Astyanax mexicanus: one gene and its partner. The protein of the gene in region 1 interacts with the protein of each later gene in a pairwise test. Links are inferred from orthologs where the notes say so. Each region holds a gene or a part of one and is shown in the gene's direction. Other genes may lie near its edges.

Evidence for each region.
Region 2: the proteins of yipf2 (region 1) and rnf185 interact in binary tests that used the Homo sapiens proteins (3 or more experiments, as listed by UniProt). The two-hybrid records come from large-scale screens. The link is inferred for Astyanax mexicanus from reciprocal best matches to the Homo sapiens genes YIPF2 and RNF185.

Annotation. Positions count from the first base shown.
Region 1 is NC_064426.1:9,766,573-9,783,936, reverse strand, and holds the start of yipf2 (protein YIPF2), read left to right. Parts: upstream 1-9,751; 5' UTR 9,752-10,004; intron 10,005-11,000; 5' UTR 11,001-11,018; coding exon 11,019-11,049; intron 11,050-11,139; coding exon 11,140-11,282; intron 11,283-12,293; coding exon 12,294-12,374; intron 12,375-13,108; coding exon 13,109-13,196; intron 13,197-13,594; coding exon 13,595-13,711; intron 13,712-14,612; coding exon 14,613-14,779; intron 14,780-15,546; coding exon 15,547-15,729; intron 15,730-16,297; coding exon 16,298-16,399; 3' UTR 16,400-17,364. Other genes in the region: timm29 (mitochondrial import inner membrane translocase subunit Tim29), read right to left, coding at 6,425-7,071, 8,302-8,398.
Region 2 is NC_064408.1:8,586,052-8,602,936, reverse strand, and holds rnf185 (E3 ubiquitin-protein ligase RNF185), read left to right. Parts: upstream 1-6,295; 5' UTR 6,296-6,445; intron 6,446-8,138; 5' UTR 8,139-8,189; coding exon 8,190-8,365; intron 8,366-8,487; coding exon 8,488-8,506; intron 8,507-8,637; coding exon 8,638-8,750; intron 8,751-9,421; coding exon 9,422-9,476; intron 9,477-10,154; coding exon 10,155-10,272; intron 10,273-11,473; coding exon 11,474-11,571; 3' UTR 11,572-11,908; downstream 11,909-16,885. UniProt on the Homo sapiens protein: E3 ubiquitin-protein ligase that regulates selective mitochondrial autophagy by mediating 'Lys-63'-linked polyubiquitination of BNIP1.

The DNA of each region.
Region 1 (17,364 bases):
CCTCCATTAATCGCATCACTGAGCTCTGGACCTTCATGACCCTCTCACTGGTTCACAGGTTCACCTCATTGCACCACTTTTGGTAGGTGCTGACCACTGCATACCAGAAACTTAAATCAGACTTAAACCTGACTGATGTTTTAAAGATGCTCTTGTGCAGTTATCACCGTTTTGGTTTTGTGCCTCAGATTCTTACACCTGCCCATATTTCCTACTTCTAACATATCTTTAAGATCTGACCGTTTACTTGCTGCCTAATATACAAATCTCAAAACTTGACAGTTGTCATTGTCATACAGTACCAGTCAAAAGTTTGGACAAAAAGCTTCTCATTCAATGTGGTTTATTTCTTTTAATGATTATATAAAATGAAACATTTCATATTGAAGACATTAAAGCTATACAAAAGCACATGTGGAATTGTTTTGTAGACAAAATATGTCAAACAAACCATGTTTTACACTTTAAATTCTTTAAATTATATACTTCAAAGTTCCATATTTATCTTTGAGGACAGATCTGCACACACTTGGTATTTTAATCTCATTTTCTTCATGAGGGAGGGTCACCTGAAATAGTTTTCCTAGCGTCTTGAAGGAGTACCTGGAGGTGCTGAACAATAATTTGTTTACTATGTAATTCCATATGTGTCCTTTGTTGATGTTTTTAATATAAATCCACAATGTAGAAAATAAATGTAGTTAAAAAAAAATTAAGAAAGACGAATGAATGATAAGGTGTGTCCAATCTGTTGACTGGTACTGGTACTGTATGTGATATTTTATTGATGTATCCAACCATCAGCTTTCATGTGAATATTGTAAGTTTTGTTCATAAAGTTAAGTGAGCATTGCTGTATGAAGGCTGTTGCAGACCAAATCTACACTCTCTGAGTCCAAGTCATGTGATTTAGGTCCCCACCTCTGGGTAAGAGTCTCACTGAGTCACCACTCCCAGCTGGAGGGGTGTAAAACTCCGCACTTACATAAGGAGCTCCATCCAATACCTTTAGGTTGAGTTGGAGTGGTGTTTGTGATTCAGAAGTGAATATCCAACATCCGATAAGTAGCTTATCTTAGATAATGATAATGACTTGTGGCCTAATGCTATCAAATGCCTCACAGCCATGTTAAAACGTGAAGCGTAACAAAGGAAAATAGATGTCAGTCGTACTTGGTTATCAGAATTCATATAATGTCTGAACAAACTGAAGCAGTATCATTATTACTAGACTTCATATAGCTTAACTGTCCCTTTCCTAGCTGTGTGGTCCCTGTGGACCCTCTGATGGGCAGGCCGAGTGCCCCAGTACATTACGAGGATGGACGATGCATCAGATATGCCAGCAACTTCCTGTGACTGCAGGAAAAAATCTTTAGTGATTGGATAACGAGCTGCGTGATCGGACTGAGCGGCCATTCCTGTGTACAGCCGAGTGACTACACTGCACCCATAAAACAGAAGAGCAGTAATTGGATAAGGCTGTAATAATTTGGCTCTAATTCATTCTTTGACTGAAGCGAGGAGGAGCCACGTTCCCATTGAGCGACATACGATAGTTCAGAAGCACGGCTTTGAATGTGTGCATTAATGACATCACCGGCTGACCTGTGACCCCATTACAGCCAGTGTCCTACCATTCCCAAGTGGGGTAAGGTTACAGGGAGATAAGGAAAGACCCTCCTGGTCTCAATGCACCCAGACAGAGCGCCCTCTGGAGGGGATAAACCCCAGAGACCGTGTCTGTCTTGTTCAAACGCATTCATCAATAAAGGTATAAAACCCCATCTGAAGGGTGGAGTTTTGACTGCATTAATTTTAAAACACCAGAACTGAGTCAAATAAATACCAATAACATTCAATGAAACATTTCCTTATGTTTTATAGCTTAAATTGATTTTTATGTTCATATTATAATTACAGTGTAAAAGTTTCTCCACTTACTTGAGCTTTCCAACCTATTAAAGATTTAAAATTTAAAGTGAATATGTAAATACACTTTATTGCCAAAAGCATCTGCCTTCCTGCCTGGAGTTTGGTGATGTGCGGCATGGCTGGAGCTGCTCTCCATGGAAACCCATTCCATGAAGCTCTAAACACTGTTCTTCAGCTAATCTGGAGGCCACAAGTTTGGAGGTCTGTGGTGATTGACTGCAGAAAGTTGTTGACCTCTACACACTATGCTCCTCAGTTTCTGCTAACCCCACTCTGTCATGATACAAATTAGTGTTCTAAAGTAATTTTAAAAAATGTATCTTAATGTATCGACATGCTCTGTGATTAATTAACCAAAATTCATCACTTTTTCGCGTAAGAAGGTATTTAAAACTGTGCAATTCAAATTGATTTTAGCTAAGGAGCAAAAGAATAAATGAATGACTGGCATAGACTTAAAAGAACAAATGAACATCAGTTAGTAGCAGACACTGTAAATAATGTCTTTTTTATAGTTTGATGCACATGTATTATTTATTATATTATTATTTATTTAAAAATTAAACTGATTAATATGATCTGACTTTTATTATGAAGACCAAAATGTTGGATAAGCCATAATAGCTATTGACTAACTGACGATGTCAACTCTTGAGCTGAATTAATTGCAATTTTTTGATAACAGATGGATGTCACTATGCTGATTACATTAGTAGCTTCTGTGTTTTGTCAAGATATGTGGATTATGGGACTTGCACTTACACTTACAACACAGGAATGAAGTTTGTGGCTCAATGCTAGCTAACAGCCAAATCAGCAGTAAGGGTTGGAGCGTGCTGATTCCAATGCTAACTGTTTCCAAGATTAATTAATCACTGATTTTTTTAATATCAGTATTATGTCTCTGGGCTAGATAGGTTCTGCTGTTTTATACAATATGTTTATGATGTCTGTACATAATCTGGTCTTTACTTATGAGTCGTTAATCAGCATAATTTTTTGTTGTTGTTGACAGCACTAATTCAAATAATAACAATTCATATTTTTTCATTATTTTAATAACTGCTTCTAACCTCACTCCTGAGCCTTTACAAACATCCACCTACTCAGCATATAACAGCCTAGCTCCACCCATTCACACTGATGCTATAAGGAGTGTTACAGCCAGATCTGGCTTTAAAGGATGCACAATTAAAAATATAAAAAAAGGGCCAATTCGAATAGTGCTCATTTCTACTTAGGTCTACATTAAAATCTAATTCTAAGTTGAAAAGTCTTTATAGAGATTGTGAGAAAGAGGTCATGTAAGAATGAACTGGCCACGGGGTCCACTAACACAGCACTCCCGCAGTGTCTGCACATTCTTTACTGCAGGATCAGGATGAACGATGGCTCTGGGCAGATCGGATACTGATCAGAATCGAGAGGCAGTGCGGCCTGTAGAGCAGCGGGATCAATACCAGCCGTCTCAGCGCGGGGGTGTGTGAGCGCGCCGGGCCGATAGTGGACTGAAGAGAGATTAATTTGCAGTGAGAGGATTTCTCCCGAAAATGAAACAGGAGGTCATTCAGAGGGAATCTGATTAAAGGCATGATTAACTCACGTCTTTGGCAAACAGAATAAAGTAACGGCAATCGTTGTTTAGGGCTGTAAAGAAAATAGCCTTTTTCCTCCAGAGGACAAGACCACACCTACGCCTGCCTGAGCAGCAGGACAACTTCCATTTATTTTGTGTTTACAGCAGGTTTACTCCTCTAATTTTGTTTCCCAGAATCGGCTGCAAAGAAAACTCTCCGTGGTGCTAAAATTAATGGGGTGGGAGAGATTACTCAATTAAACACAAACATAAACAAGTTACCAGTTTGATGAATTGGCCGTTAGCATGATGATGCAGATTTGAAACCTGCATTATTTAGAACTGGGTAAGAAATTTAATCTGACGGACACATTCATTCAAGACGTTATTGTTTCTCTAATTTGTTTTTCTAAAATTTTCAAGTTTCAAATAATGCTTTTAGCTCTCTAACACTTTCATTTTACTGAGAATTTTCAATGCAGAGTACATTTACACAGTGGCACTTTTGCTTATGTAAAGGCTGTGAACACTGCCAACAAGCAAAATAACAAGCTGTAATTAAAAAACATGATAGTCAATTTAAATACAATTTAGAATTCTATTTATTATCATTATTCTGTTAGCACTTTAGAAAAAATGAAAAATACCATAAAACTGTGAACAGTCAGTTTTTAAGGTTAAAACTCTAAAGAAGTAAAAACCTGTAAGAATCTGAAACAATTTGACAAGCAACAAAAAGTGAGGCTAGACAGTTGGGTCAGATAATCTCCATAATATCAGGTGAACCAGCAGTTGTGTTTTAGGTACCTAAAACTCATGTATGCACCCAACTTTACAGCTTACAAGCTAACATTGTTTTGACAGATAACACAAGACACCTTCAACAGTAGAGTCCAGGGGGCCTATTTTAGCGATCTATAGCGCACCGGTCAATTCTGCATCATGCAGCTTGATTTAGGGCGCCGTGTCTCTTCGGTATTGTGAAGACGAAAAAAAGACACCTTGTGCAGCTCAAAATGCATGTACTCATTCTCTTAATTATGGGTGTGTTTTGGGCGCAATGTGAAATAAACCAATCAGTGTATCACTTGTCATTTCCTTTAAGATGCAGATGAGCTCTGACTTTGGCGCGTTTGAATCTTTATAGCACGGCGCTTTGTGCGTCTCAGCAGAGAATACTGAACTGTGTTTTCACACTGTGAGTTCACACTGTGAAGGTAAGCCAGCAGCTTATTTACTTAAATCTGTTCATTGTAGAGTTAAAAGTCAGGTTTACGCTTTGTAGTGCGTCAATGTGTGTTTACATGGCACACCTATGGGAATAGACTCTGATGGTTGACAGTTGTCTAGATTTATTTCAGTCAGTGGAGCACCTGTGTTTTTCGATGCCAAAATAGAAATACGCCAGAAAATTACCTAAACACACCCCACTTCCAGACCACCATGCAAATTAGTAAGCAAGGCTCCAAAACAGACTGTTGACAGGGTGTAAGGTAGCATAGAGCCCCAGGTGGTTGTTGTTAGCACTGTATCCTAATACATTATGCAGTATTTTGCAGATTTAAACATGGAATTTGATCTACAGATAAAACTTGAGCAGTACTGTGTATAGAACTTATTTAATGAGACAGATAGATAGAAGTGACAACAAGCAGTATATATTACTGCTTTTACTTCTACTGATGTACAGGGCAGCCATCTTGGATTCCTAACTCAGGGTTGGTGGAGCTTTTATCATTTTGATAATTGGAAGTCCGTCTTGGAACTAGAAAATTCTGACATGGGAGTTCAAATGGAATGCAGCCTTACATAATCAAAAGTGACAGTGACTACAAAATAACAATAATGTTTATTGATTCAGTTCATCTTCACAGACTATGCCAAACATTTCATATTTCACCAGCACTCCTAAAAAATAAAAGGTGCTACAAAAGGGTTCAAGTGATGCCATAGAAGAAACATTTAGTTCATTTTAGTTCTATAAAGATTTTAATGTACATTTCTGCAAGAGATGTGAGTGTAAAGAAGCTGATTTAGGTTTGAATAAGTTATGGTCACTCGCATCACTCAAATTTGTCTCTTGTGAGTGTGTTTAAGACTGCTTGTGCTGTCAAGTGTGGCTGTGTATCAGGGCCTGTATCAACATGACTGGTTAGCATGCTGGCTAATGTAGCAAGCTCATCTGCTACTTTCATTAACACTTTAATTTTCTGCAAATTGTCCCTGTATTTGTGCAAAAATGCATCATATAAACGGGCAAAGAAGAATCAGCTGTGCTGAGCCTCTCCGTCATGTTCAAAACCGCTCTGCTCAGAATATGAATGAAATATTGGAGAAACAAAATGTTCACAGAGCAGAATCTGGGGACCCTCAGGTAAAAACACTTAAACACACACAAAAAAAATCATAAACCTTCCTATAAGAAATGACGTTGTGGCCTGCTCTGTGGCCTGCCAGTGTTAAATCAGGGTTAAAGTTCTTTACCAAATCATTTTACTTTATATTTTACATTCATATATTTTCAAAAAATGGTTAATCTCACTGGAGATGCACAAATTAGTAGCAAGGAACAGGCCCACGTCTCTACCAACACACCACCTCACCAAGGTTTTGTCAAAAAAAAAAAAAATATTTTGCTGAGCCTTGAATAACAATTTTGTAGCACCTTTAGTTTTAAGATTAAAGTATTAACATACAGTATAGCAATACATGACATTTTTTGTCCCAGAATTCCAACAACACTATATAAACTGAAGTCCATGTCCAGAGAAATGCGCTTTCCCTTCCGGGCTGCTGCTCACAGATTTATCTGATCATATGTGACATGCCTCCAGTCCATATGTCCATGCCAGCACACGTCCTTTAGTGAAGCACATCAACGCTTAGGTGCATCTGTTCTTACACAGTTTTCTCTCATCCTTTCGCCACGATCTCCCCCTCTTTCTGTACACTCACTGCACCATCTGCCGTTTCCTCCTCTACCTCCATCACCAGCGCCTTCAACGAATCTCTGTGCAGTCTCTCATTCCTCTCAGTCTCCTGCACTGAAGGGGGAGCTGTGGCCACCAAAGCCGGAGAGAGATGCTTAAACTCTTCCTCGTTAATGTCATAGTCCTTCATCTTCTGGTGCAGTACCCACCAGCGTCCAGCGAAGCCCACGTCCAGCATGCGCCCGGGCAGCTCTGCCCAGGGCACAGACAGAGCCGAGCACTGAGCCTCGTACAGGCTGCTCTCAGGGTCGTAGCTCACCACGTAGGTCACCGAGGCCACGCCCAGACTAAGGTAGCGCAGTCGACCTTCATTACGCAGCCTCACCAGGTTCTGCACGTGACCATCTGACATCCCGCTTCGTATCCATGGTGACAGAAGGGCCAGTTTATTGGAGGTTTCTAGCAGATCAGTCTGGAAGGACGTGTCATCTGGATTTGTTCGATAACAGAAATACGCCCCCCCCAGCAGGACCGCGTAAGCTGAGGCTTTAAAGGGACGCTCCCGTGCTCCAACAACCACCTCCCGGCAGGCCTCCTTGTAGTCACCCAAAAGACTACGGCACCACACACCTGCAAAAAGGACATTTTAACTGGTTTTACTGGAATAGGATTTTATAATAGCAAAACATATGAAAACCAAAAATATTGATTTTTAATGGTTAATTAACATGTCTACTTTTAATACTCCTACCAAAGTAGAGTGTAGAGTAGAGGGCAAAACCTTTACTAAACTCTACTAGATATCTGCAGTTTCTGCAGCAGTGCACAATATGAACATAAATGCAACATACGATGACACCGTATCCCAAAATGAATGTGGAACACAATAAATTAAGAACATAAATTAGCTCTTTAAATGTTTTTAAAAATGTTACTTTTATTTTATTTTGTAGTAGTTTGGTGTGTGCTCTACCACTAGTGGAGCTCTACTCTGCCTCTAGTCTAGTTAGGTCATGTAAGCACAGTCTGCAGTGTGAATAGCTCCCTCTGTGGATGTGGAGGGTTTGAGAATTCAGTGTGAACTTAATTATTAAATGTGTTATTTTCTTTCTGTCAGCCATAGCTGAAAATCATACATCTCATTTTTACATTCCATTACATTACTGTTGTATTTTTCTACTAACACAATGTCTTCTATTGTTTGGACTTTTTTCGACCCAGTGGAATTAAACTAAACAGGAATGATAGTAAAGTGAATTAAACCCGATATAGAATACCATATTCTGCAATTGTTCTTCAGTAAGAGCAGGATGTGACACTAAGTGGATCTTTTTGCCTGATTTTATTAGATGGCATTTTTGATACATCTTACTGATCCTCTCTCCTGGTTTTGAATGTGCTATAAGCTGTAAGGTGCCACTTCTTTTAAAATTTACAAGTAAAATAATTTGTTAATATCTATTAATCTATCCATATATCTTCGATATTAAATTTACAATGTAAAAAAAAGAATGAAAGAAGTGTGTCTTTCATGTGTCTAATAACCTAAAAGACCTTGGTAATGGAGATGCAAGAGCGTTTGTGTTAAGAGGAGAACATATATTTCAGTTTTGACCTACAGTTAGTGTTAAACATGTGTTTATTCTCACCATTTGGGCATAATTAATATAAAATTAAATTAAGGATCAGAGTTTCTACTGAATTATATTATGTTATTATTATATATATTAATTAACTGATTCTACTGTCGGGCAGTAGACTGCTTCTCCTCTCCAGTTCTGCAGTAGATCAGCAGCTGCTGATCGGGTTAATAATAAAGAGTATATTTAATCTGTATGTCTCGGTAGGTAAAGCGCTCACCCACGCGGCCGCTCTTCAGCCTCTCCCACCGGCTGCCCTTGCCCTGAGCCTCCGCTGCGGTGGAGCAGAGCCTCCTGAAAACACACGAGGCAGCCATGACAGTCCGAACACACGCTGATCAGCGGCTCAGTGCTCTCAACTCAACCGGAACCGATACCGCCGGCTCTGTTTCCACACGGCCCCCCCACACAACACGCCCACTGGCGAAACCACTGAGCCGAAATGGCGCAGGCTCGGTCAAAGAACCTGTAGACCACTTTAAAACCTCTTTATGTCAGACCACCAGAGGGCGCTCCCGAGTCCTAAATGAATAGGTTCAGATTGTAAATGTTTGCTAAATTTTTAAACCGAAAAATGTGATTAGTTCCTCAACATATCAAATGTTAATGCCAAATACAAACTTTTAAAGTCCACTTGGAAACATTTAAAACATGTGCTGGCTGTTACTTCAGCACTTCTGTAGCAGTGATGCTACCAAATCTGTTGTTCAAATTACGAAATTACGAAATTTAAGCAATATCCTGGACACGTAGTTAATGATCGTTTTTACCGAGTTTTTAACCATTCAACCCCCCTCCCTTTATTTATGGCTCACTCGCAGGCTCCCTCTAGCGGTTATCCCTTATTTTCTGATAACGGAGGAGAGCGGAAGTAGATAGGCTTGCTCTAAACCAGCTCTGGCGTGGTTTGGAGTTGGTGGTCCGATAGGGGGACCATATCAACGGTTTTTACGTTCCACTCTGATTTTTCTCTGTCAGTTTTTTTCTTCCTTTTTTAAAAATTAGGTTTTAATTTTGCGATCAGGGGATATGGATTTTAAAGTATAGGTGTAAAGGATTGTATCTCCTTTTTGCTAGCATTACTGTTACTGTGTGCTAACTGATTGGTGTGCTAACACTGGATTTACAAAGCACATTTAGTCAAAGCACATTTAAAAGGCTTATAAATTAAGTTTAAAAGCTTGAAACATTTTATATAGTTATGTGTTAATATATATGCGTATATGTATACGATTTACTCGCGAGCGTCCTCTGGTGGACTGTCAAATCCAGAAGAGATTAATAAGTGGGTATTCTCCTCTGTATAAGCTCTCTGCTACAAAAACAGTTAACTTACAGATTTCTGATTCTGAACACAGAACAAAACATTTTAAAAACTTAAAACCCGTCGTAATCTGCCACAGATACACAATGTGCCGTTTCCGTGGTTTTCATGCTTTATTAATAATTCGACTTAAGATTATTTTAGTAAAAAAAAAAAGTACAATAATTAGATTTATTATATTTTAGTCAATATAAAAAAAAATATTATAAAAAATATTTAACTATTAAATCTGCTAAATAACTAGTTAAAATGCTTAGATTTAAAATAAAATCGCGTTTGGTATTTAATTATTTGTTTTTTAAGGTTCCGGCTTGGCTCCGGTCACGTGACCTTATTTTGACACACGCAGGAACTCTGTCGCTGGGAGGGTGACGTGGAGCACGGCGGGATAAACCCACAGCTGCGTGAGATTTCACTGAATTAACTGAGTTGTTTTGTACCCGACTTTAACCCGGTCGTGGCGGTTCAGAGGCGGCGGCTGTAGCGCTGTCTGAGTCCCGGCAGCAGCGCTGTCACTGCTGAGGAGCCTGGTGACCGTTAGTGAAGAGCAGAGGCAGCGTTAATGGTGGGAGAGCTGATGCAGCACTGACTGACCGCTGGTAAGAGGAGGCTAACCGCCTCACAACTAACCCGACTAACCGCTTCATCACCCCGACACGAGCTCATTACCTTCCCCTGTTCCTCACCTTCTGTCAGTTCCACCTTAAACCTGCAGCAGCTGCGGGTCCTGACTGGGGTCTGCAGTGTGTTGATTCAGCTGTTCTTAAACACGCAGAGCTTGGCAGTAGCTTTTCTTATCAAATTAAACAGCTAGTTAGTGTTACAACTGTGAGCTACTAATATACCCTTTCCACCTTAAGTGCTTTAGCAGTTACACTGTTTTAAGTTGGAACAGAATATTTAGATAAAGAAATTAGAAGATAAGCTAAACATGTACTGTAATTAACTAACATCTGATATTTGGTAGCTGAACACATTCATTTTGAACAACTACCACATTTAGTATGATAAGAAAAAATATAACACTGCAGTATGTTATTGTTTTGATATGTACTGTATGTTGTGATATTAAACATCGATTTTTCCTAAAATCAGTGATTTAACATCTTATGATACTAACAGTGTTCTCTCTGTATCAAATATTGGAAAAAAAATAAATGTATTGGCGTTTATTACTTTATTTTTTATGTTTAAGTTATTTATTTTTTGTACCAAGGAAGTTCTAGCATCTCCTGTATGGTTTAATTTGCTTTACATGACACTGCATGTGACATACAATGTGACGATTGTGCATGTGCACACTGTTATGATTATACTAAAACAATATATTATGCAATAATATGCCTTGGATGACCACTTAACAGCACATATTTATTTGTGTGTAGTTCACAATATAATTGCCATTTTTATTTGTTCAGAAGTTAAATGTTTTGAGCAGTCTGTGAGCCTCCAGTAAAGTTGTATGCAGTAGTTCTACCGGTCTTACTAATAAATGTGTTTATAGTTTGACATTTAAAAAATTATTTAGATTTTTATGCCGAAACATTTATAGTGACCTTGTTGGTGTTCTTGTGATATGTTTCTTTTTTCTTCAGTCATTTCTGTGATCTACCATGGCGAGTCCTGACGATTTGAGATTTCAAGGTTGGTACTTCTGTTCAGTAAGTAAACTGTTCAGATGTTCTTGCATGTCTCCTCCTTCCTCACTCTTTTACCTTTTGTAAACCAATGCAGAATTCGAGGAGGCCACAGATTTACTGGCCGCTGACCCCGGTGCCTCCACGCTCAGTATCACCAACTCCAGCACTACTGCACCTGCAGGGGATGTTAAGCTGGACCTGTCAGATGATGAGGAGAATCAGCAGGAGAGCTCAGAGGTGCTTTTATCAACTTAATGCATATTTACAGGAAAGCATGGTGCAGACACTCTCTCTTTTTTTTATTATTATTTTTTTTATTACATATTTTCCACAAGTAGGCAAGCCTTGCAAGTGTCTTGCCCAAGGATGCCAAAAGGTGCAATGTAATATAGGGCTAAAATGCTCAAATTGGATCTTTCATCAATTTACAATTTAGCCTTGGCTTATGGTGCCCCTTAAAAAAAGATGAACCCTTCACTAATTGGCTGGTTTACATCGCCGAGACATCTCAAGTGAGCCATGTAGAATAGCTTTGTTTTAGCACTGTAACACAAACAGGCATACCAGAAAATGTTGCAATCATCTCTGTGTGCTTTCAGTGTCTTTTCGGCACATTGTGGGGTTACAAAGCTGAGAAATTTGTAGCCTGGCAAGTGGGGATAAAATTAACCCTTTAAGCCTAATTTCTAAACTCTCTGCCCTTTGGGCGAGCCCTTTTCTAAGGTTAAGAAACAGTTCAGAAATTTGTTCAATGCATATCTCGGTTTTGGCTCAACTGGATTTTCTTTTTAAGGAGGAACAACAGTGTTTGGGGTTTACAGTTTGTCACTTCCTTGTTCTGAACTATTATTTAACTTCGGCAAGATAAAACCTGTTTTCTGCTCTAGTTCCCCCTTTACCTGCCTTTATCTCACTGTGAGCTGGTTTACTTATTTACTAAAGGTGCTGCATTACAGCCAGGTACAGGGCACATTAATAAGGCAAATGTAAATTCTGTAACTGCTACATAGAACCTTGTGACCAGTATTAACTAGTGTGAAAATTTGTATATATGTGTTTGCTTAGAGGGCTGCTGAACTCAAATTCATTTAACTACAGAATAATAATAATCTTTTCTCTTTTCTGTATGTGCCCTATTCTCCTTTGTCTTTGCAGAAATCAAGAATTACTACATTTAATACTTCTTAATAGTTGTTCTGACAGGAACTAATGTTGTGTCTGAACACCTGTTTTGTTCTTTACTTGCAGTTGCTTGGAGGTGAAAAACAAAGTGGGGGCTTCTGGACGTTTGAATACTATCAGTCTTTCTTCAATGTTGACACAATGCAGGTATGGAGTTCTTTAGGAGTATATTAATGTGTATTATCAATACAAGCCTTCTGTATACACTGACATGCCAAAAGTCATAGGATAGCAGTATGTTGTGTTACCTCAGAAGAACAGCTTGGGAACACCTAACGCCTGACCTGAGCGTGGGAGCCAGACGGATTTTTAAACAGTCCTCGATCCACATTGTCCTGTGTTTATTAAGAATACTTTATAGAAGACTTTATCACCCACTGTACACCAGTGGCATCTGTGCAAACAGACAAAAATTAGCAGGAATTACATCCACATTTAATGCCACAGTACAGGGAAATGAATACAAATGCCCCTTAAATTTTTTTATTTATTTAATAAATAAAAAGAATTAGCATTTTATTTTACTTCAGAATGACTTGCTATCACCTTAAATTTATACCAGAAGTTGAAATATGCTAGATTTGATCATGTAAACCACACAATAAATAAAATTTAATTAAATTTAACTTAATTTGAATTTATATAACATTTATGTTTGTGACCTATTGTAAATGCTTTCAATGATGGATAAATAATCACTACAGAAGTACAATCAATATAAGTTTCATTATATTGATCAATAACATGGATTTAAATGACAGACAGTAAATTAGCTATTGGTACTGTATGGCTAAGTGTGTTCCTGCGTGGTGCCAATTTTGTCTTTATTGATGTATCTGAAAAAGATCAGTCAATCATGTCATGCTCTTGTTTGATTTTAGGTGTTGGATAGAATTAAAGCCTCAGTTATGCCTTTGCCAGGCCGGAATTTCGTCAAACATCACATTAGAAACAACCCAGATTTATATGGTAAGGAACAATAATGTACACTCACTGAACACTTTATTAAAAACATTATACTTTTAGAATCTTCTTTCTTACAAACATTCTGCAGGTCACCCATTCTGCCACACTAAAGGTGTTCTGTTGGATTCAGATCTGATTATTGGAATCCCACTGCAGATTATCTCAGTTAATCGGGCATCAATAATTGTGCCACACTAAAAAATCACATATCACATTTTCACCCATTCTGATTCTGAAGCTGCTGATCAATGTCTGCATGATGTTAAGGTTTTTGCATTATTGTAAAGTTGCACAGTTCCTTATAAAGTGTTCAGTCAAAACACATTTTAGCAGATATTGTAAATAATATTTTAAAACAAGCATCAATTGCACAGGAATGTCATTATTTTCTTGATTTCCAGGGCCTTTTTGGATATGCGCAACACTAGTGTTTTCCGTGGCCATCAGTGGAAACCTCTCTACATTTCTGAGTGAAATGGGTAACCCTCGTTACCACTACAGGCCCCACTTCCACAGAGGTAAGCAAGAATTCAGATGCAAAGGAATAATAAGCAGAATTATTTAGATCCCATGCTTCTTTCAGAATACCTGAGAACAGATTATACTTTTAAAGTCTATGTGAACAAACCTGTAATTTTTAATTGATCTCAAAAAAAGAAAAGATGTGGAATATGGAATGAGATTAGAAATAGTGAGTTGTTAGAGGTGTTAGGAGAGTAAGTGCCCTTTGAAGAGCTCTGTCTTCAGGAGTTTTTTTTTTTTCCTAATTTTTCTCATTTTCTCCCCAATTTACACAGTCAATTACCCAACCCACTCATTAGGACCCTATCAGTAGTAATGCCCCAACACACCAGGAGGGTGAAGACCAACACATGCTTCCTCTGATACATGTGAAGTTAGCCACCTCTTCTTTTCGAGCTGCTGCTGATGCAGCATTGCTGAGCAGCCAGCGCGCTTGAAGGACAGCGCAGAGACTCGGTTCTGATACATCTGCAGACATTACCCTAGGAGTGATGTGGGGAGAGAGCGCTATCTACCCACCCCGAGGGAGCAGGGCCAATTTTGCTCCCTCTGAGCACTGGCAGCTTGACCTCCCGCTCATAGTGGCAGTGTTTCAGACCGCTGGACCACTCATCGCCCCATTCAGGAGTTTTTTTAAGTTAGTGAGGGATGCTCCTGATCTGGAAGTCGAAGGTAGTTTGTTCCACCATTGGGGAACTGTGTATAAAAATAGTCTGGATTGCTTTGTGTGAATGTTTGGCAAAGCTAGGAAACATTCACTGGAGGAGTGCAGCAGGCGGGAGGAAACATAAAGACTTTAGGAGCAGGTGCAAGTAGGAGGGAACAGCTCTGTCATCACCTTGTAGGCAACCCTATGAGTTTACATAGTTTAAAATGATTAATTTTGTTTTCTGACAGTGACTGTTGCGGCTGTGGCTGTGTTCCTCTATGCATGGCTGGTACCACTGGGCGTGTGGGGCTTCATGACCTGGCGACAGAACGCTGAGAGACAGACCAGTGCCTATTCATTTCTGGAGACAGTGTGTGTCTACGGATACTCTCTGTTCATTTATATTCCTACCTCAGTAAGTATGATATAAGTAAATATAGATATAATCATTAAATCAATCAGGTATATGATTGAGGTAAGTAAGGTTTGAATTGAATAAAATAAAATTCAATTTTAGCCTGTTTGAATATGGCTTGACAGAGTGTGATGTAGTTGTAGTTGAAAGTTTGCGTAATTGTTATGGCAATATTGGAATTTCTTTTACATTATACAACTTTCAATAGAAAAACAAATAGAATCTGGTTCACAATAACATATATTCAGGTGATAAATAAATTAATACAACAAATGCTCTCTGCTTAATTAATCTAAATTAAGCACATTTAACCTAATCAAAGTAAGATCAAGGTAAAATAGTCCAAATTAAATAAAATATAGAATGGTCATTGACATTTTTGTATGTTTTAATAATATGCCATATGACTTTTATTATAAAGCCCAAAATGGCAGATTAGCCATTATTTCAGATCACCTCTAAAATAATGATCAAAATGGATCTATGTATATTTGTAACCATGTATGTTTAACTTTCACTTCCCCAAAATAAAAACCAGATTCTAATTAAGATTTATGTTGTACATTCTGCTGCAGAAAAACAACTCAAATCATACTGTACATAGCATATATGGTGTAAATAATGTACATGCTATGTATACTAATAATGTGGATACTCAGCTTAGAAAGCTTAAACAGTAAGCCCTTCATAAACTGTACCAACATTACATATTAATATGTATCAACAGTGAACAGAACACTGACTTTCTCTCTGCTTCTGTTTTAAAGATATTATGGATCATTCCTTTTGGATGGCTTCAGTGGCTCTTGATCCTGGTTGCCATGGTGATCTCGGGATCAGTGTTGGTCATCACCTTCTGGCCGGTTGTGCGGGATGACACCAAGACGACAGCTTTTGTCTCCATGGCAGCCATAGTGTTGCTCCATGCACTGCTGGCCATCGGTTGCAAGGTAACTCACTACAACTTTACACAAATCAAATAAATGCCCGTAGCTGTATCAAATCGGTTATTTTTGCTGTTTCCTCACAAATTCTAATTAGCCAAATTTAGCCTCTTCAGTTTAAACGGAAACTGTGAGGCCACTTATATGTTAAGGAGGAAAAAAATGGGCAAAAGAAATAAACAACAGCAATGAGTGAGGTTTTTAGTGGCAGTAAACCTCATAAATGTCTCACAACTGCTCCATGTTAAAATATGTATAAAAAAAGAAAAAAGGGTCAAATGTGTTTACAGGATGGCCCATCTGGAGTGTCAAAAAAAAAAAAAAAAAAAAAAAAAAAAAAAAATATATATATATATATATATATATATATATATATATATATATATATATATATATATATATATATATATATATATATATATATATATATGCATTGTTCTTTTGCACACATGGTTATGATGCATGAACTACTACAAAAGTTAGATGTGATGAAAAAATATGCACTTGATGTACTGCTGTGTAAACATAGACTTAGTCTTCATTTTGTAACAATTTTTTTTCTCCTCTTTTTTAGATGTATTTCTTCCAAACAGCAGAACCGATAGCAGTACTGCCCGACTCCACAGTGACTCCTGCTCCACTAAATCACACAGCATTAACGAGTAAAGCTCACTGACCTGCAGCATATGGGCATGTGGAGTGAATGATTAGAAGAACAATGTACAGAAATCATAATGACCGAATTGTCAGATTAGCACCTTTTTTTGATTAGTGCTTGGGTGTTACTCATCTATTATAAAAACTTGAGTTTCCCGTCTTTGGGTGAATATGCAGATGAAACAATACAGCTTGGGGCAGGTTGTAGACCAGGGTGTTTCATCAGTGTTTGAAACAAAACGGTTCTGTGATGTTCTTAATTGGTAAAAGTATCTTTACAGACCTTCTACATTTGACCCTTCATTTACATTTAGTCAACAGACTAAAACAGTGATACTGCGTGGGCCGAGGATTGCGAGTCTGAATCCCGGGTGATGCCACCTTAACATCAGCAGCCAGAGCCAGAGAGAGCATTATTGCGCTCTTTTCTGTCATTACCCCAGTTGTGTTGTTGGCTAGCACAGCAAATGTTGAATGCATCAGTGGTGGAAATGCAACTTAAATTGTCTTTAATTTAATAAAAAATAGGGGTAAAAATAATAAGAACTGTTTAGGATATTGGACTGTGGTGGTCTTCAGAAGAATTCTCCCTGCTGCTCTTGAGCTTCTTTTATATTCTGCACTTTTTTCAGCTACACTGAAGTTGTGGGTTGCTTCTTGACAATATATTTTTTGATAATTCTGCACAGGATTGCTGCAGAACGTCAACATTTTACGTTAAACGTAATCTGATGAGTGATGAAGTGTGAAATGCTGTGATATTACCATCTGCTCGACCACTCCTTCAGCCTGACTTGTGAAGATCATGTTAAATTTCTGTATTATTTATTTGTATTTTTCTGTTTGTGATCATTCTTCTGTTTAGTTATTCCATAATGAACATACATAGTCATTCCTCTCTGCATTGTGAGTGTGTGTGTGTGTGGTGTGTGTAATTGTAATTGTATTACAACTGGAATTCCAATTAAAGGGCTTGCAGGGGAT
Region 2 (16,885 bases), on another chromosome or scaffold:
TATATATATATATATATATATATATATATATATATATACGTATATATATATATATATATATACGTATATATATATATATATATATATATACGTATATATATATATATACATATATATACGTATATATATATATATATATATATATATATATATATATATATATATATATATACGTATATATATATATATATACGTATATATATATATATATACGTATATATATATATATATATATATACGTATATATATATATATATATATATACGTATATATATATATATATATACGTATATATATATATATATACGTATATATATATATATATATATATATATATACGTATATATATATATACATACTTATACACAAACCTATCAATGAGCTCTATGGGCGTGGTTTAAAACCTTCTTGTTGGTGTAAGTTTACAGGTTCTTATTTACTAGTATAGAGAATGATCTATATGTAAAAGCTATATTCTTGTCCTTTAGGATGAGCCCAAGCTCACTGTGGACTTACTTAAAGTTATATGTAAGGTGAGGGGATGGAAAGCTGCTGGATAAATGCTTGCTTAAGGTTACTTTCTGCTGGGTAGTACATCTGTATTTATGAATGCTAAATAACAGGTTGCAACTGTACGAATAACCTGTAATTCCAAGCAGGAAAACATCTTTGAATATATAATTGCTACACTACGCTACTCTAATTTTGCATCCACTGTTACATAACAGGCTTATGATGCAATGTCTGACCAGTTGTTACAGATCTGGCCTCCCTCTTGTGGAAGCTTCTGAAAGGGCCATTTAAAACCCATGAGAAAGTTAAGAGGTCAGAGGCCATTCTGAAGTAGAAAGAAATGAACACATTATCAGATGAGTTCCCAGTTTTGTCCTTAAAAAATCTGAAAAGTTTAAAAGTTTAAAAGACTGAAAGTTCCAATTTTGCATAAGATGATTTATGGCATAAATGGATATGTGGACGCAAAGCATTCCTTTTAATCAAGCTGATCACTAATAGTTTTTATATATATATATATTTTTTGTATATATTCTTCTAGACTTATCATTTGCCTACATTCTGTTTAATAATTATTCCAAATTTTTATGTATGATTTTCCCCGTTCTAATTTGCTTAAGTTTTAGTGGTCTGTTGTTTGTCTACTGATCAGATATTTTATTTTTTAAGTATTAGGTTTAACCAATTTGTTTTAATTGTATGTATTTTGTTTATATCATTTATATATGTTTTTTTTTACTTTGTTCTGTATAGCACTTTATAGTTGATGTTTAAAATGTGTTTTTATGTATTATTTCTAAACTTTTTAATGCTTTGTATGCTTTATACACCTGTAACTGGGCATGGTGCTAATAGGTTCATGTTTATATACATATATTTAGCTGTTAGTGTCTTCCACTGAATCAGTATCGACTTTGTCTCCGTTGATAGAAACTCAACTGTGGTCTATTTGTCTACTGTGTTCATCGCTGGAAATCACAGTATGTAATGTTCTCCGAACCAGTAGAATAAGGGTATGGACAAGTATTTCCAGTTTCTATTTAACATCTAGTTTATCTAATTGATGACCCAGTGCTCTTACCACTGATCCAGCACTGAATCATAGCAGACACTGTTTAATACAATGTTTAACAGAAAAACAATGACCCTACTGAAATTAAAAGTTTGGGTTTATGTAACAAATAGTCAAAAAGTTTGGACACACAGTTTTACTCTATGTTTTGCTGTTGTACATTGTAAATGTAGGAAAACCCAGACTATAAAGCAACGCATAAGGAATGTAGAAACTTAAAAGTGTTAAACAAACCAAAAAATACTCTGTGAAGCATTTAGGTGCTCTCATCTGGGGAGCTGTATACCTGTGGTTTCTGAGGCTGGTGACTCTGATGAACTTATCCTGTGCAAAAAAGGTAACTCTTGCGCTTCCTTTCCTGGGGCAGTGCTGATGAGAGCCAGTTTCATCATAAACTTTTTTTATGGTCTTTTTGACTGCACTTGAGGACACTTTCAAAGTTTTTGATATGTTTCAGATTGACTGACCTTCATTTCTTAAAGTATTTTTTTCTTCACTTAGTTGAGAAGTTCTTGCTTCTCATAATCTGGATTAGAATTACTCAAATATATCTATTCACTGTATACCTGTAACTCTACCTCTTCACTACTTTACAGCTGATGCTCTCAAACACTTTATTAAGAGACAAGAAATTCAAGAAGAAAATCTCTTGACAAGTTCAGCACAGCTGTTAACTGAAAGCTTGAATTCCAGGTGACTCTACCTCATAAAGCTGACTGAGAAAATCCATCCAAGATGTGCAAAACTGTCAACTGAGCAAGAGGTGCTACTTTGAAGAATGTAAAATATAAAACATATTTTGGATTGTTTAACACTTTTTTGTTTATTAAACAATTCCATTTGTTTTGTAGAATTTGTAGAATTAATCTACAATGCAGCACATGTGGTGTCAGATGTGCATGATGTTATCTAGATGGCTATGTTAAGTATTTAGAATACTTCATCGTTGTCTATCTACTGCATAACACCATAAAGGTGGGAATGTGTGGGCAGGTACATAAGGATCAATGGAACAACCTATGATATAGGGTGCGCAGTTACACACAGGGTACACTTACGCTATGGCGTTGGTTCAATACAGAAGAATAAATTGACCTTACAGCTGCCACACAGTCTGTGTTTTTGCCACTCAGTGGGCAAAACTACAGTGACTCCCCCATTTGTAATGTCATGTGCATTGCATCTATTGCTTTAATCCTGTGTGTGGGCACTAGGGGAGCTATATTTAAAAGAGACTAAAGAAGGTAAAAGGAGAACTCTGGTATAAAATGGACTTTTGGTGTAGAAAAACATGATGAAGAGTACTAACCTTTGATGATATATAACACATATGATAAATAATATAGACATACATATACAGGCTCGGCATAGCCTGCTTCTGTTATTTTCGTATGAAGCTGAAGCTAGCGTTATGAGATGTAAACAGTGTTTTTTTAATAAGCTTCTTGTGCACTTTTTAAGTTATTAATGCCTCGTTTTAAATGTCAGGGCTGTCCGGATTCTAGCAAGGAGGTGTGGAGCTACTTTGAGCTGGATAATGGTGGAAAAAACTATTTCTCAGGGCAAATTATGCCCCTTGTCACCCAGTCTGAAGGGTGTTCTGACAAACTTTTAACATTTCTAGATCTCGGACCGCTGATAAAGATAAGTACTTTTTATTATGTTTTAATACACCAAAAGTCCATTTTACACCAGTTCTCATTTAAACCACAGAGTCTACACAGTGTTGGTATAGGAAGTGAGAACCCACTCTTATGCTCTAGGCCTCATCCTAGACCTGACCAAAAGAGCACACTAACGCCAGTGTGGCAAAAACAGTACACCCCCCCTCAACCCTATCATGAGTACCCCACATTACACACCACCCAAACACACACTCTCAGTCACATGACCCACCCCCAGTGCATTTTCTCACATCACAGCTGCTCATCTGTTCTCAATACCAAAACACCATTTCCTCACGCATAACATCACAGAGAGTGCTGATGGGTCCAGCTTAGCGTCAGGACAAGCGTGATGAGTAACGACAGGGGGTCAATCACTCTCACTGTCCCCTCTGTAAAAACAATAAACCCCAACAGACAATCCAGCCCCATGCATTCACTCACCACCTTTACCACCTCGCAAAGTAAAAGCAGCTGATATTCTTATAGCCCTGAAGACGTTTTCTTTTAACAGAGAACTATAATGACTGCAGTTTAAAATATATAAAAATAGCTGTTATGTATTACAATATAGTGTGTTTAATGTATAATAAAGGTGTAATACCACTATTCTTTGTCCTGCCTTAATCTGCTTTCATTTAATAGACAATTATTTGTACATATACAACTAATATTGTAGGCTTGAATACTGTAAAACAGCTAAATTAAAGTACCATAGCTTTACAGTACTAGACTAATATTTTACATTCATATAAAAGCCAGCTAAAACATCCCTTTTTTCATATTGCATTTTTAAAATAGTTTTTCATCTTTTGTATACCTTATCTACTTTTATACTTCAATGCAATTTAAGGTTTTTTTGCAAATGATATTAAGCCTGTAAGTAGAGGTGACAGCAAACCCCAATTTATAGTTAAGTAGTGCTTATTTTACTTCCTTTTAATCATATTTTTTAAAACATTATTTTAATATATTGTTCCTCAGTATGACCCAGCACGATGCAAATTTTACAAACCTGTACAAAACTGTTCAGCCGTTTTAGAAGTAAAAGTATCCTTGTATGAGCAGTACATGTTTATTTATTCAGAAAAACTAAATAAGTATTTAAAACACAGGGTGTATTTCAAAAAATATTGATATCTTTCTAACTAATGAATATATTTTTTCTTTAACCCCTAACCCCCCCCCCCTCCCAAAAATGAAATATAAAGACTTACAAATTTAGTATTTCAGAAAATTATAATATTTTATAAGACCACTTGGTACATTTGGCAGTGTGGGCAGTGTGCCAAGTCCTGCTGGAAAATGAAATCTCCATAAAAGTTGTCAGTAGCAGAGGGAAGCATGAAGTGCTGTAAGATTTTCTGGGAAAACAAAACTACACTGACTTTGGACTTGATAATAAAACACAGTGGATCAACACCAGCAGATGTCATGTCTCCCCAAACCATCAGTAATTGAGCATTAGTAATTTTTGCATTTCATTTGGAAATCAAGGGAGCAGAGTCTGGAGGAAGAGTGGAGAGACACACAGTCCAAACTGCTTGAGGTCTAGTATGAAGTTTCCACAATCAGTGTTGGTTTGAAGAGCCATGTCAAGCGGACAACTATTATGGAGATGTGGATTTCATTTTCCAGCAGGAATTGGCACACTGCCCACACTGCCAAAAGTTCCAACTGGTCTTATATTATATTCTAATTTGAGTTTTTATGTTATTTTTTGATTATCAACAATAAAATAAATAAACGTTTAAAATAGATCACTCTGTGTTTAATGCATCTAATATATGAGTTTTCTCATTTTTAGCTAAATTACTGAAATAAAGTAACTTTTAAAGATATTTTATTTTTTTTAGATGCACTAGTATATATGTGCACCTCTGCTGTTGCTGAATTCAGCATTTCAGACATAATTCGTAATGTTGCGTGTTTACATGTGGGAATAGAAAACGAGCTCCGGCAAATCGTACGCTCACTGCTCCCTACGCTAGAAGGGTAATGCTGCAGACCGGAGCCCCCAGTGGGCGTGGCTTAAGGGCGGAGCATGTGTCAATCATTTTCGACTGCAGCCAATCAGATACTACACTTTCGTTGTCAATCACTTTTTATTAAGCCAATCCTCAGACAGACTTAGCTGTCCATCATTTTTTACTGCAGCCAATCACCTTAACAGATCTGTCAAAAGAAGGCGGAAACTGCATTGCTACCGGTTGAACGTAGCGCGATTTAAGCTTCTGAACAGCGGTGAAGCTGAATGTGTATAAGTATTTTACAAAATACTATATTAACAGTTTAAACAGTTTTTCTGGAACAGTTTTTCTGGAATGGCACTTTCGTGTTTTTTAATCGTGTATATGTATGTGTATATATATATATATATATGTGTGTATATATATATATATATATATATATATATATATATATATATATATATATATATATATATATATATATATATATATATATATATATACACACACACACACACACACATACATATACACGATTAAAAAACACGAAAGTGCCATTCCAGAAAAACGAGTATTTTAATCTTTGATTTAAAAATATCTAAAGTCAGGGCTTTTCTAACGTTTTCATTCAGTTACTTCTGTTTAAGAGCGGCATATAGGCAGGACTAACTACAGTAGCACATACATGTTTTTAAACTGTTAATATAGTATTTTGTAAAATACTTACACACATTCAGCTTCACCGCTGTTCAGAAGCTTAAATCGCGCTACGTTCAACCGGTAGCAATGCAGTTTCCGCCTTCTTTTGACAGATCTGTTAAGGTGATTGGCTGCAGTAAAAAATGATGGACAGCTTGGTCTGTCTGAGGATTGGCTTAATAAAAAGTGATTGACAACGAAAGTGTAGTCGAAAATGATTGACACATGCTCCGCCGTTTAGCCACGCCCACTGGGGCTCCGGTCTGCAGCATTACATAGATGCCCTACGCAGACTTTCTCCAATCGGATTGGTCGTTCTGTTAAAGACGCAACGCCGTACTGCCACTTGATTGGTTATCCTCGCGTGACGTATGCGAGTGCGTTTTCCGGGGTTCCACTTGATGCAATCGTGCTGAAATTGATGCGCCGCGGTTTGGTGCTTTAACCGGAGGACGGAGGGTTAGGTGATCTACAGCAGTTGGTGTGTGCGGCGGAGACAGGGGGATTTATTGGATGAAACGGTTAAGGTAGGTTAATAACATTATTTAGATTGTAAATCAGCTTATTTTAGAGCCAGAAGTAAGTTATAAAGTTAGTAAACTACGGTCGCTAGCTTGGCTAACCCTCTAGCTAACCCTTGCTAATAACAGTGGCGCTGAGGAGTTAAGGCTGTATTATCAGGCGCTGGTCTGTAGTCTGTCACTGCTGGAGGATTATTGGATTTTAGACCTTTATTTGCTTTAAATTGAGCTGTTTTTGAGGTTTATCAATAACATTTTGTTCATTTGCCAGTTATCTAATGATAATAATAGTTTATCTCTTACTCTGAATTCTGTGATTTCTATTTCGACTGGAATCTTTGCTTACTTAAAGGAAATTAAATGTTTTCAGGTACTTTTTCTTTAAATAATTAAAGTTACATTATTTCTTTCAATTGGGTTGAGATAGTTGATAAAAATACACTATTTATTTATAATGTCTTGTAGTTTTATTTTGACATTGTTCTGTGTTATGTCTTATATTCCAATTTTATTCATTTTAATTCTGTTATAAATAAATACATATTATTTCCCTTTCATTTCTAATTTCTTATAACTTTCCTAAACTTGTATTGACTCTTATCTTTATATAGCACTTTAAATTGCATCTGTGAATGAAAGGTGCTATACAAATAAGAAATTTGATAATTTTATTAGAAAGATATTGTGTCTTAAATCTATTCCTTTAGTAACCTTTAACCCTTTCAGACCTGAATTAACGATCTCAAGTAATGGGAAAATAATGTAAGAATGCTGTTTTCGGTCTGTAATGCATAGAAAAGAAGACTCCAATATTCTACTACAAAATATACATAGCAAATAAATCCAAATAATTAAAAGATTTAATAGCTTTTTATTTACACTGCCTCTTTCCAAAGATTTGTTTATTCAGACTTTAATTATATACACATCTTGCCAAACAACATTTTTGATAATGCATCAGTTACTTAATGAAAATCGTAGTTGTGGTGCATGTGTTTTCTGTAAAGGAGCAATGTTGATCTTACAGTATAAACTATTTTTATATCAGCATTGGAAAGATAAGGTTATGTGTGCAGGTTTTTTTTATATAAAAAATATAGTGCTGTAGTTTAAGAAATACATAAATGTCTCTTAATGCTGATAAAATCTTATATATATAGTTTTACAGGATTACCAAGCTTAAATCTTTGCTTTACACTAATAGTAGACACTACAGGAGTGAGAAATGTGGTTTGTTTGGATTAAGACTTGTCCCTTTTTAGTTCGTTTTGCATTAACAGTATTGATAGTTTTATAATAGATTTTGCACAATGTCTAGCCATGTAGTTGTAAGCATTCTAAATTTACATTTTACACACTGTAAACTTTAATCTTTTAATCTGCTGATCCTGTTTTCTTACAAAAGCCAAAATCAGATAAATGTGATCCATGCTTTACAACTTTCTTTGTATTTATTTATTGTAATTATTTATTCATTAGGCATTTGGCTACATGTCTTAGTTATAAGAAATAAACAATGACCGATGTGTATGATGGATTTATCTTTGCTAAAAGTGTTTTTTAAGATGTATATTCAATTTATATGTATTTTTTTATCTTGCATGACCTTAATTGTTATGTGTTGTCTGTGTAAAAGTAATTTGTATCTTAAAATATTTCTAGAGCTACAGAGTTTATTGAGTTATCTTTTTCTTCTCAGGTGTTTTTCAGCCCACCCTTGCAGCTCACAATCGCCCTTTTGAGGAACATCATGGCTAGTGCCTCTCCTCCTCCAGCATCGGGCTCCTCACCCACCGACACTACAGCCACCGGCTCCAGTGGCCAAGCATCAGGAGAAAGCAGCAGCCAGGACAGCACGTTTGAATGTAACATCTGCTTGGACACTTCCAAGGATGCAGTAATAAGCTTGTGTGGACACCTCTTCTGGTAAGAGGCCATTATCTTATTGAATGATATTAATCTCAGTAATAATTATTATTGTCATTTGCTTCTTCATAACTGAATTAATATTGTCTTTGTATGTTTTTTTTTCTGCTGCTGGCTCACAGTTGGCCCTGCTTGCATCAGGTACGTTGTCTTCTTTCCATCTTGAAACCTGATCTGCCATGTTTTGTCTGTGCCCCCGTTCTAATGCATATTAATCTTTTGGAGGCTTTTCACTGTCCCTAATTACCCACATCAATTTCCTCTCTTTACAGTGGTTGGAAACAAGGCCAAATAGACAGGTGTGTCCAGTATGTAAAGCAGGCATCAGCCGAGACAAGGTCATCCCACTGTATGGGCGAGGCAGCACCGGCCAGCAGGACCCGAGGTTAATCATCATTTCATTTCACACAATTGAGACCTTTGGCCTGGTTCACATGAAATTAACCATTAATATATATATATGACATTTTATCTCAATGTAAAACATTAACTGACAGTAGGTCTGTCACAATAGTACATTTTGACAATATACTGTGCTAGAAATAATTGCAATACACAATTTTATGGTCATTTCATGCCACTGATATAATAATAATCAAAAAGCATAATCCATTTTCACATTATTTTTTTAAAGAGCAGTGAGCTTTTAATTATAATTTTTTTGACATTGAAATTGGAATATAAAAAGGTATAAATATCCTCATTGTGTAAAACATAAAAAAACCCACTGTTTTAAGGAAAGTCAATATACAAGCTTATTCATGGTAATGGGACTTCTTGTATAGTAAAAACAATAGGCAATACTCAGGTCAGCCTAAACTATTGATCATATGTTCATATATTGGTCTAGTTACTATGAATCAGTCATTTTGCATAACAATAACATTATGAATAATTATAATGTATTCTGTAATGCACAAAAACAGCCCTCACTTCCAGATTAACAAAAGTTCAAATATGTATTAAATGAGTATAAAAAAGTGAAGCATGTTGTTGGCACGAACCAAATCGCAGTAATTGTTGAAACTCATTATTTTTCTTCCTCTGGGATTTCAGAGAGAGAACTCCTCCCAGACCACAGGGGCAGAGACCGGAGCCTGAGAACCGTGGGGTAAGTAACTGCACCATTTTACTCTAATTAACCTGATATGCTCGCTCTGGGCTAAAACAAAACAAAACAAAAAAACAGGTTTAACATTAAGCACTTAATTATTTCATCATCTAAAGTCAGACTGAGCTGCAGCCGCCATGTTTATTTATTAAACCCTCAGCAATCAGACACGTATGACAGGGTGGAATCACTGATTGGCGAGTTATATGTGGAGTCACACAGATATATATGCAACACCGAATGCCACATTGCACTAGCCATGTGTGATGAAACTATTACGTGACGGTAGGAAGGTACTGTATTGCCAGCATGCAAGTAATTCATTAGTAAACGAATCGCTCCCAAAGGGACTTATTAAGAGGCACCTCCAAAGAGAGAAGTGGAAAAGAGCTTTTTTGCGCCCCTCTCAGGTAATGACAACACCTGGCATTTGAGATTGCATCACGCGCTTTAGCTCCTTTTGTCCTAAACACTTTTATGAACAAGCTGTTGATGAGTTTATGGATTTATGAGTTGGAGTGCTTGTATTTATTATAATACGCTATTAAATTATTAGCTGCCACAGTATTATCAAACATAAAATAGAGGCTAAGGTCTTAAAGATATTCGATTTTTTTAAATAAGTGCATCATTATTAAATCTTCTTCATTAAGCTAAAAGCATTGTTGTGGGTTGCAGGGATTTCAAGGATTTGGCTTTGGAGATGGCGGCTTCCAGATGTCCTTTGGTATTGGAGCGTTTCCTTTTGGCATTTTTGCTACAGCGTTCAACATCAATGATGGAAGGCCACCTGCAGGTATGTGCCCACAAATATATAAAGCACTAAACTCTGAGCAAACCTTGTTCTTTGTTATAGCAAAGATTAATGTGCACGCTGTGAACATTAATATCATGGCAATATTAGGCTTTAGTGATTTCTTTCTGGGGAAGAATGAGTGAGAGCCTACATCTTTAATTAAAAAGCAACAAAAATGTTGCCCTTTCATTATTTTTTTACAAAAGCTTCTCTGAGAAGGTAACACAAATTGTTCATAAGAGTATTTCTAAATTCTCCAAAACGTCTAAGGATGTTCTCAAATATTCTCTTAAGGATATCATATTTTTTAAAGGTATGTTTTATATACTTATTATAGTGATGGCCATTGATAATATGGTCTTTTAAGCTGCATTTCACAGTTTAAAGACCATGAAAAATGAACTTTTCAGTATTTAGAGTCCCTGCAAGTCTCTACAGTGGAGAGCAAATTAAAGGAAAAGCAGAAGTAAAATTAGTAAACAAGGAGTAACCAGAAGTATTTTTGTATGTAGACCGTAAGAGTGCTTTAGGAACAATCTCCACTTAAACATTTTTCCATATAAGATATGAACTCCTTCATGACTTCTATTATTTATGCTGTGTCTGATATGCTCATGCCAGAACATCACACGAGGAATAGAGTCTATAAATGCAGAACTATATAGTGTCCTATATGTTCAATGAATGTAGAATGGCAGAGTCAATACATAAGTTTTAAGTGAAAATCATTTTTTAGCCTAGAAGGGAAAATGTATCTCAGGCATCACGTAACATATTTTAGCTTTAATTAAACTCCCTCTCAGAATGCCTGCGTTTAAAATAATAGTGTAATAGTGTAAAATAAGAATAAGAATTAGAAGTTCAGGGGAACTGTGGAAGTCGAGGTGAACAGGCGGAAGTTGAGAGTAGAGGGGCAGTGGAAGGGGGCACTGGGGGGACCCACCCCCAGTTTTTATCATGGAGACGGTGGGCGCACGCTCCCAAGAGAGGGTGCTTTTCATGGCGGGGGTGTTGAATTCAGCGTGAGTAATGACATAAGTGTGACTTAGGCACGGATTGTTTAAACTCAGTGTGAGTGCAGGCCAGCGGGGGAGTGGGGAGGGTGCAGAACCGTGCTTAGTATGAGTACACTCTTAGAAACTGGGCTTGGTTGATGTATTTATATTAAATTAAACCCGTCTCATCTCTGTTCACTCTCCAGCTGCTCCTGGTACCCCTCAGCACATGGATGAACAGTTCCTGTCCCGCCTCTTCCTGTTTGTGGCGCTGGTCATCATGTTTTGGCTTCTGATTGCATGAAAACGGTTATGAACTCATGACTGGACGCACGGTGACCGGCGCTGGTGTTACAGACAGTGATTATGGAGGTGGTCTGAAGTTTCTGTGGAGGAAATACTTTCACTTTTCTCTCGGCCGTCAGATTCGGCTGATTTTAAATGAAATGTGTTCAGACACGTGGATTCTTTCGTGTGAAGGAGATGAATCGTGTGTCTGTGATTGCATGACTGTGGTCAGTTCAGTACAGAAAACTGTAAAAAATGTGATTTAATGGAATTTTACTGTTAATCTCTCCTCTTGTTGGCTTTTCCTCTCAGATTGTAATTTTAAATAAAACCCAGAGTCTTATTTGTCTTAAGATGCTTTGTTTACGTTATTTCTTTAGTTGTTTGAAGTGGCAAAGGCTTTTAATGACTTTAGCTATGTTCACATGTATAGGGATATATTAAAGAGAATATTATATACAGTGGAAAAAAAAGTTCAGGAATCTCTGTTTTGTAAAAAGAAGAATGGTCCAAAATTCCTTCAACCAGAAGCCAGACTCTCTTTGGAAGATATAGGAAGCGTTTAAAGGCTGTTATTACTGCAAAAGGAGGATCTACTAAATATTTTTGTCATTTTTTGTTGGGGTGTCCAAATTTATGCACCTGTCTAATTTTGAGTACAGAATTATTTCATGCTTTCTAAAAATAAATTTTAAATATCACTGTCTTCAGCTGCTATATGATATATATTTAACTGAAATGACTGATCTGAACAAACAGTGATTTATAAAGGAAAATCATGAACAATATCAGGGGTACCCAAACTACTAATGTACTTTAATTTATAGAGAGTTAGCATCCATCCAGTACTTCTGGGAGGAGTCAGGGAGTTGTGGAGGTGTGATTGAGGTGGGGTGGTGAAGAATATCCAGCATCCTGACCTCACTCTAACTCTCCTGTAATTGGACACAATCAAATCCTCACAGCAATGCTTTAAAATCTAGTAGAAATGTCTTCTCTGGAGAGTAGAGACAGTTACTACAACAAAAGCAGGATATTTCGTTTTTTATATTTTATTATCCTTGATTTCTGAAGAAACTATAAATGAGCATGCGTTTGAAACAGTGGAGTATAAATATGGTAGTTATTGGAAGTTCAGGGGAACTGTGGAAGTCGAGACGTGATCAGCTCTGTTACTTTTTGCTGTAAATTATTTTCGTTTTTTTAACAGAGCGTTTCACACCAGACCCACTCTGAAAAGTTTTTTCTTTTCACATCGTAATTATGTAACTTAAATTTCATATTTAATTTTTTAAGAAGAAATGCACAGTCCTGACCCACTGCTGTAAAGAGGAAAACTGCTGTACAGAGGTTTGATTCCTCGGATGTAATCTGAGAACTCTCTTATAAAATCTTAATGATATTCACTGTGGGATTGAGTTTCAGACTAACACTGCCTCTCAGTCTCTCTCTCTCTCTCTCTCTCTCTCTCTCACACACACACACACACACACACACATTATATCCTTTAGAGTAACTAAGGGAGGACCTAAAGCAAGAAGAAGCAGCTTCACCACCTCTACAGGGCCTGGTCCAAGGAAATGTTTTAAAAATGTTTAAGGGAGTCAAACCATGAGGAAATTAGGTTATTTAATTTCTATGATTCTAGTTTTGTTTAGCATTCAATTTTAACACAATGCATACGACTAAACTTGAATAAAAAGAACAAAAATAAAATGTAATATAATTTAAAAAGTGAAAAAGGTAAAACCGGAGATACAATGTTTTTGCAAACACTAACGCTGTGTCAGTATGTGTGTAAATATAAGGTGTCCTCTATTAGTCTAAAATGATACGCTGCTAATTTAATGAATGAAATTATATAGATTATATAGAAATTGAATAAGAAAGTCTTAACAGGTTTTTCACAGCAGTGCCGATCTAATAAACGACCAGCAGAGGGCGTCAAAAACATCAGTCCATATGCGTATAGGAATAAATACATAATACTGTAATTTTAATTTGTATATTTAATTTTTTATTTCTAAATTAGTAAAGCTTGTCAGATTGATGAATCGGCATAACCAGTCTGTTTATGATGCTCTGATCTATAAAAAATTACATATATAAGCATTTGTTAGAATTTATGTCATTCTTTAATCTTACAAACCTCATAATTGCAGGATCACAATTAAACAGCGTGTAACTATGTAATTACTATCAGTTAAATTTGATTAATGTTTGAAGCTAAACTCGAAAATAGAAAACTGGGTCTTCATTTTTTAGTTTTCCCATTTATTAGCTATAGTAAAGAAGAAATGTTTTTCAATTTCCCCAATTTCCTGTTTACTATTTTCGCCTTTTGCAAACAGAATTTCAGGAAATAATGCAACTTTTGTTACAAGATACAAAAATGGGGGAAAAAAGGAAAAAAGAAAACAGAAAACCGAGGAAATAATTTCCCTAAAATTCTTATTCTGAGATGCAGAAATAAAAAATCAAGGAAAAATAGAAAAATTATTGAAAACACAATATGCACAGCTAATAAAGTTTTACACCCTACTTGTGTATTTTTTCATTTAACCTCTAACAAAGGTTATATTCGTTAGAATATACATTAATATGTTTATTTTAATTTAGAGATACAGGAAACTTCACAGTAGTAAGCTCATAAAAATACATCAATAGACTCAAACATTACATTTTATTTTATTTTTTTAACTTCGCATTTTAACAAGGCTAGGATTTATTGTACATAACTAATAAGCTCGTCCTCATATTGAGCACAATTCAGCACCATTTAGATTTTCTGCCAGAATAAAACACGCTCACTGAATCCGCCGCAGTGACGATCTACGCCGCGGCCAGCAGAGGGCGCTTCAAAGACCATGCAGCGTTCAAGTGACCCTAAGCTGAGTGTGTCAAACAGTTGTGGAGAAAACAGGAAAGTGCTTTATTTTGTACAAAATGTTCAGAATTAATTACAAAAATCTTAATTGTTTTGTCACATATTGTACGTTGATATTGATTAAATATTTCATTCAGTTTTTAATAAATAATAATGTGTAAAAATCCATAAAATCCGGTTTTTAGAATTTTAGGACTAAGTACAGGGCGGCAAAACACTACAAATGAGTGACCCGCAGAGAGCGCCAAAAGCACCATGTGCCCTTTAACTTAAAGCTCATTAAAATAAATGAACATTTAAAACATTACTATATATTTTAGGTTAACGTGCAATGTTGGCGAATTAACAAAGCTGAAATTAATTCTACAGAACATACACAACCTGATCAACTAAATTCTGAACGAAATTCAAAAAAGGTTTTGAAGTTTCTGCTCAAATAAAACACGGAATCTTGCGCCCGACCAGCAGAGGGCGCGAGAGAGACCATGCTCCCTTCAGGAGACCAGTGTGTCTAACTGTTGTGGAGAATACATGACGGGGCTTTGTTTTGTAAAAAAAATAAATAAAATGTTGAGAATAATATAATAAGATTGTATTTACTAGTCAAATAATTTATTGTGACTTTTCCTTTTTTGTATTTATTAATAACCAATAATAATGTGTTAAAATCTATAAAGTTCCGTTTTTAAAAATAACATCTAAGCCGCAGGACAATTCATAAGTGTGTCCAGCAGAGGGCGCCAAAGCACTGTCCCAAAATCTCCTGATCGTAGATACACGAATAGAATCAGGTCTTTACCATATATACCATGAAAGTTTTCTTGCCAAGTTGTCAATTTACCAAAACTAAAATTAATTTCACACATCAATGCTTTCAAGCTCTACCTCGCCCTGAATATAAGTCAGCATAATGTTTATTTACGGCTAAAATAAAACTTTTGTGAAGAACACAGAACAGCAGGGAAGATCTTTGCCGCGGCCAGCAAAGGGCACCAGAGAGGCCATGCAGCGTTCAGGAGACCCGCAGCTGAGTGTGTTGAACTGTTGTGGAGAATAGAACACGGTGCTTTGTTTTGTACAAAATGTTGAGGATAAAGTAATAGGATTGCATGTACTGGTCAAATACTTTATTGTGACCTTACCTTTTTTATCAAGTAATAATAATAATGTGTTAAAATCTATAAAGTTCTGTTCTTAAAAAGACCAACTGAGCCGCAGGAAAATTCACAAGAGTGTCCAGCATAGGCTCAGGTCTTTACCACATAATTAAAGTTTTCTCGTCAAGTTGTCCATTTAACTATAATAAATTCTACACATCAATGCTATCAAGCTCTACCTCGACCTGAGCATAAATTAGTATCATTTTAATTTACAGCTATAATAAAACTATTGTAAAGAAACCGAACAGTGGTTTGTTTTGTTGAGTGTAAATGAATAAGATCTTAATTGCCTTCCCGAAGTTTTATTTTAATATTAAGTAAATCTCTTGAACAGTTTATTTTTTTAATAAATAATAAAACATGGGGACGGTGAATCTATATCAGTGTCAATCTTTGCCGCGGCCAGCAGACGGCACTAGAGAGCCCATGCAACGTTCAGGACAACCTAAGCTAAGGGTGTCGAACTGTTGTAAAGAAAACAGTACAGTGCTTTATACGTTTTCCTGTAAACTAATTATTTAGCAAAGCTATAACTGATTTAATACAATGCTAAAGCTCATCACGAACGCAATTCAGCATTTTTTAAACACTTGCTGTTAAAATAAAAGACGAAATAATAAATCTTCAGCAGGGGCGAACTTTGCCGTGGCCAGCAGAGGGCAACAGAGAGGCTAAGCAGCATTCAGGAGCCCCGCAGCTGAGTGTGCCGAACTGTTGTGAAGAAAACAATAAAGATCTTTATATTGTACAAAATATTGAGAATTAATTAATAAGATATTATTTTATAAATGTTAAGCTCGGGTTCACCATGAGCACAATTCAGCATCTTTCACTTTTGCTGGTAAAATAAAAAACGAAATCGTGAATCTAATGCAGTGAAGATATTGATATTAAGATCTAATTTGTTGATATTGAATTAATTACTGACATAATATTTAAGATAAATTAATAAGATCTACATTTTCTACAGATATTTTATTTTGATACTAAGTGAATCTCTCATTCAGTTTTTATTAAATAATAAAACACGGGATAGTGAATCTACAGCAGTTGCGATCTTTGCCGCGACCAGTAGAGAGGTCATGAAGCGTTCAGGAGCCCCCTAGCTGAATGTGTCGCACTGTTGTGAACAATATAGCACAGTGTCAAATTAAAAATAATAGTGCAATTAAACAAAACACACAGATATTCTTTACTTTTTATTCCTCTTTTTAATCTCGTTCCTCTTGTTGCACAATTAGGTATAAATATTTGACTTCTGTAAAACAAACCAGATTAAAGTC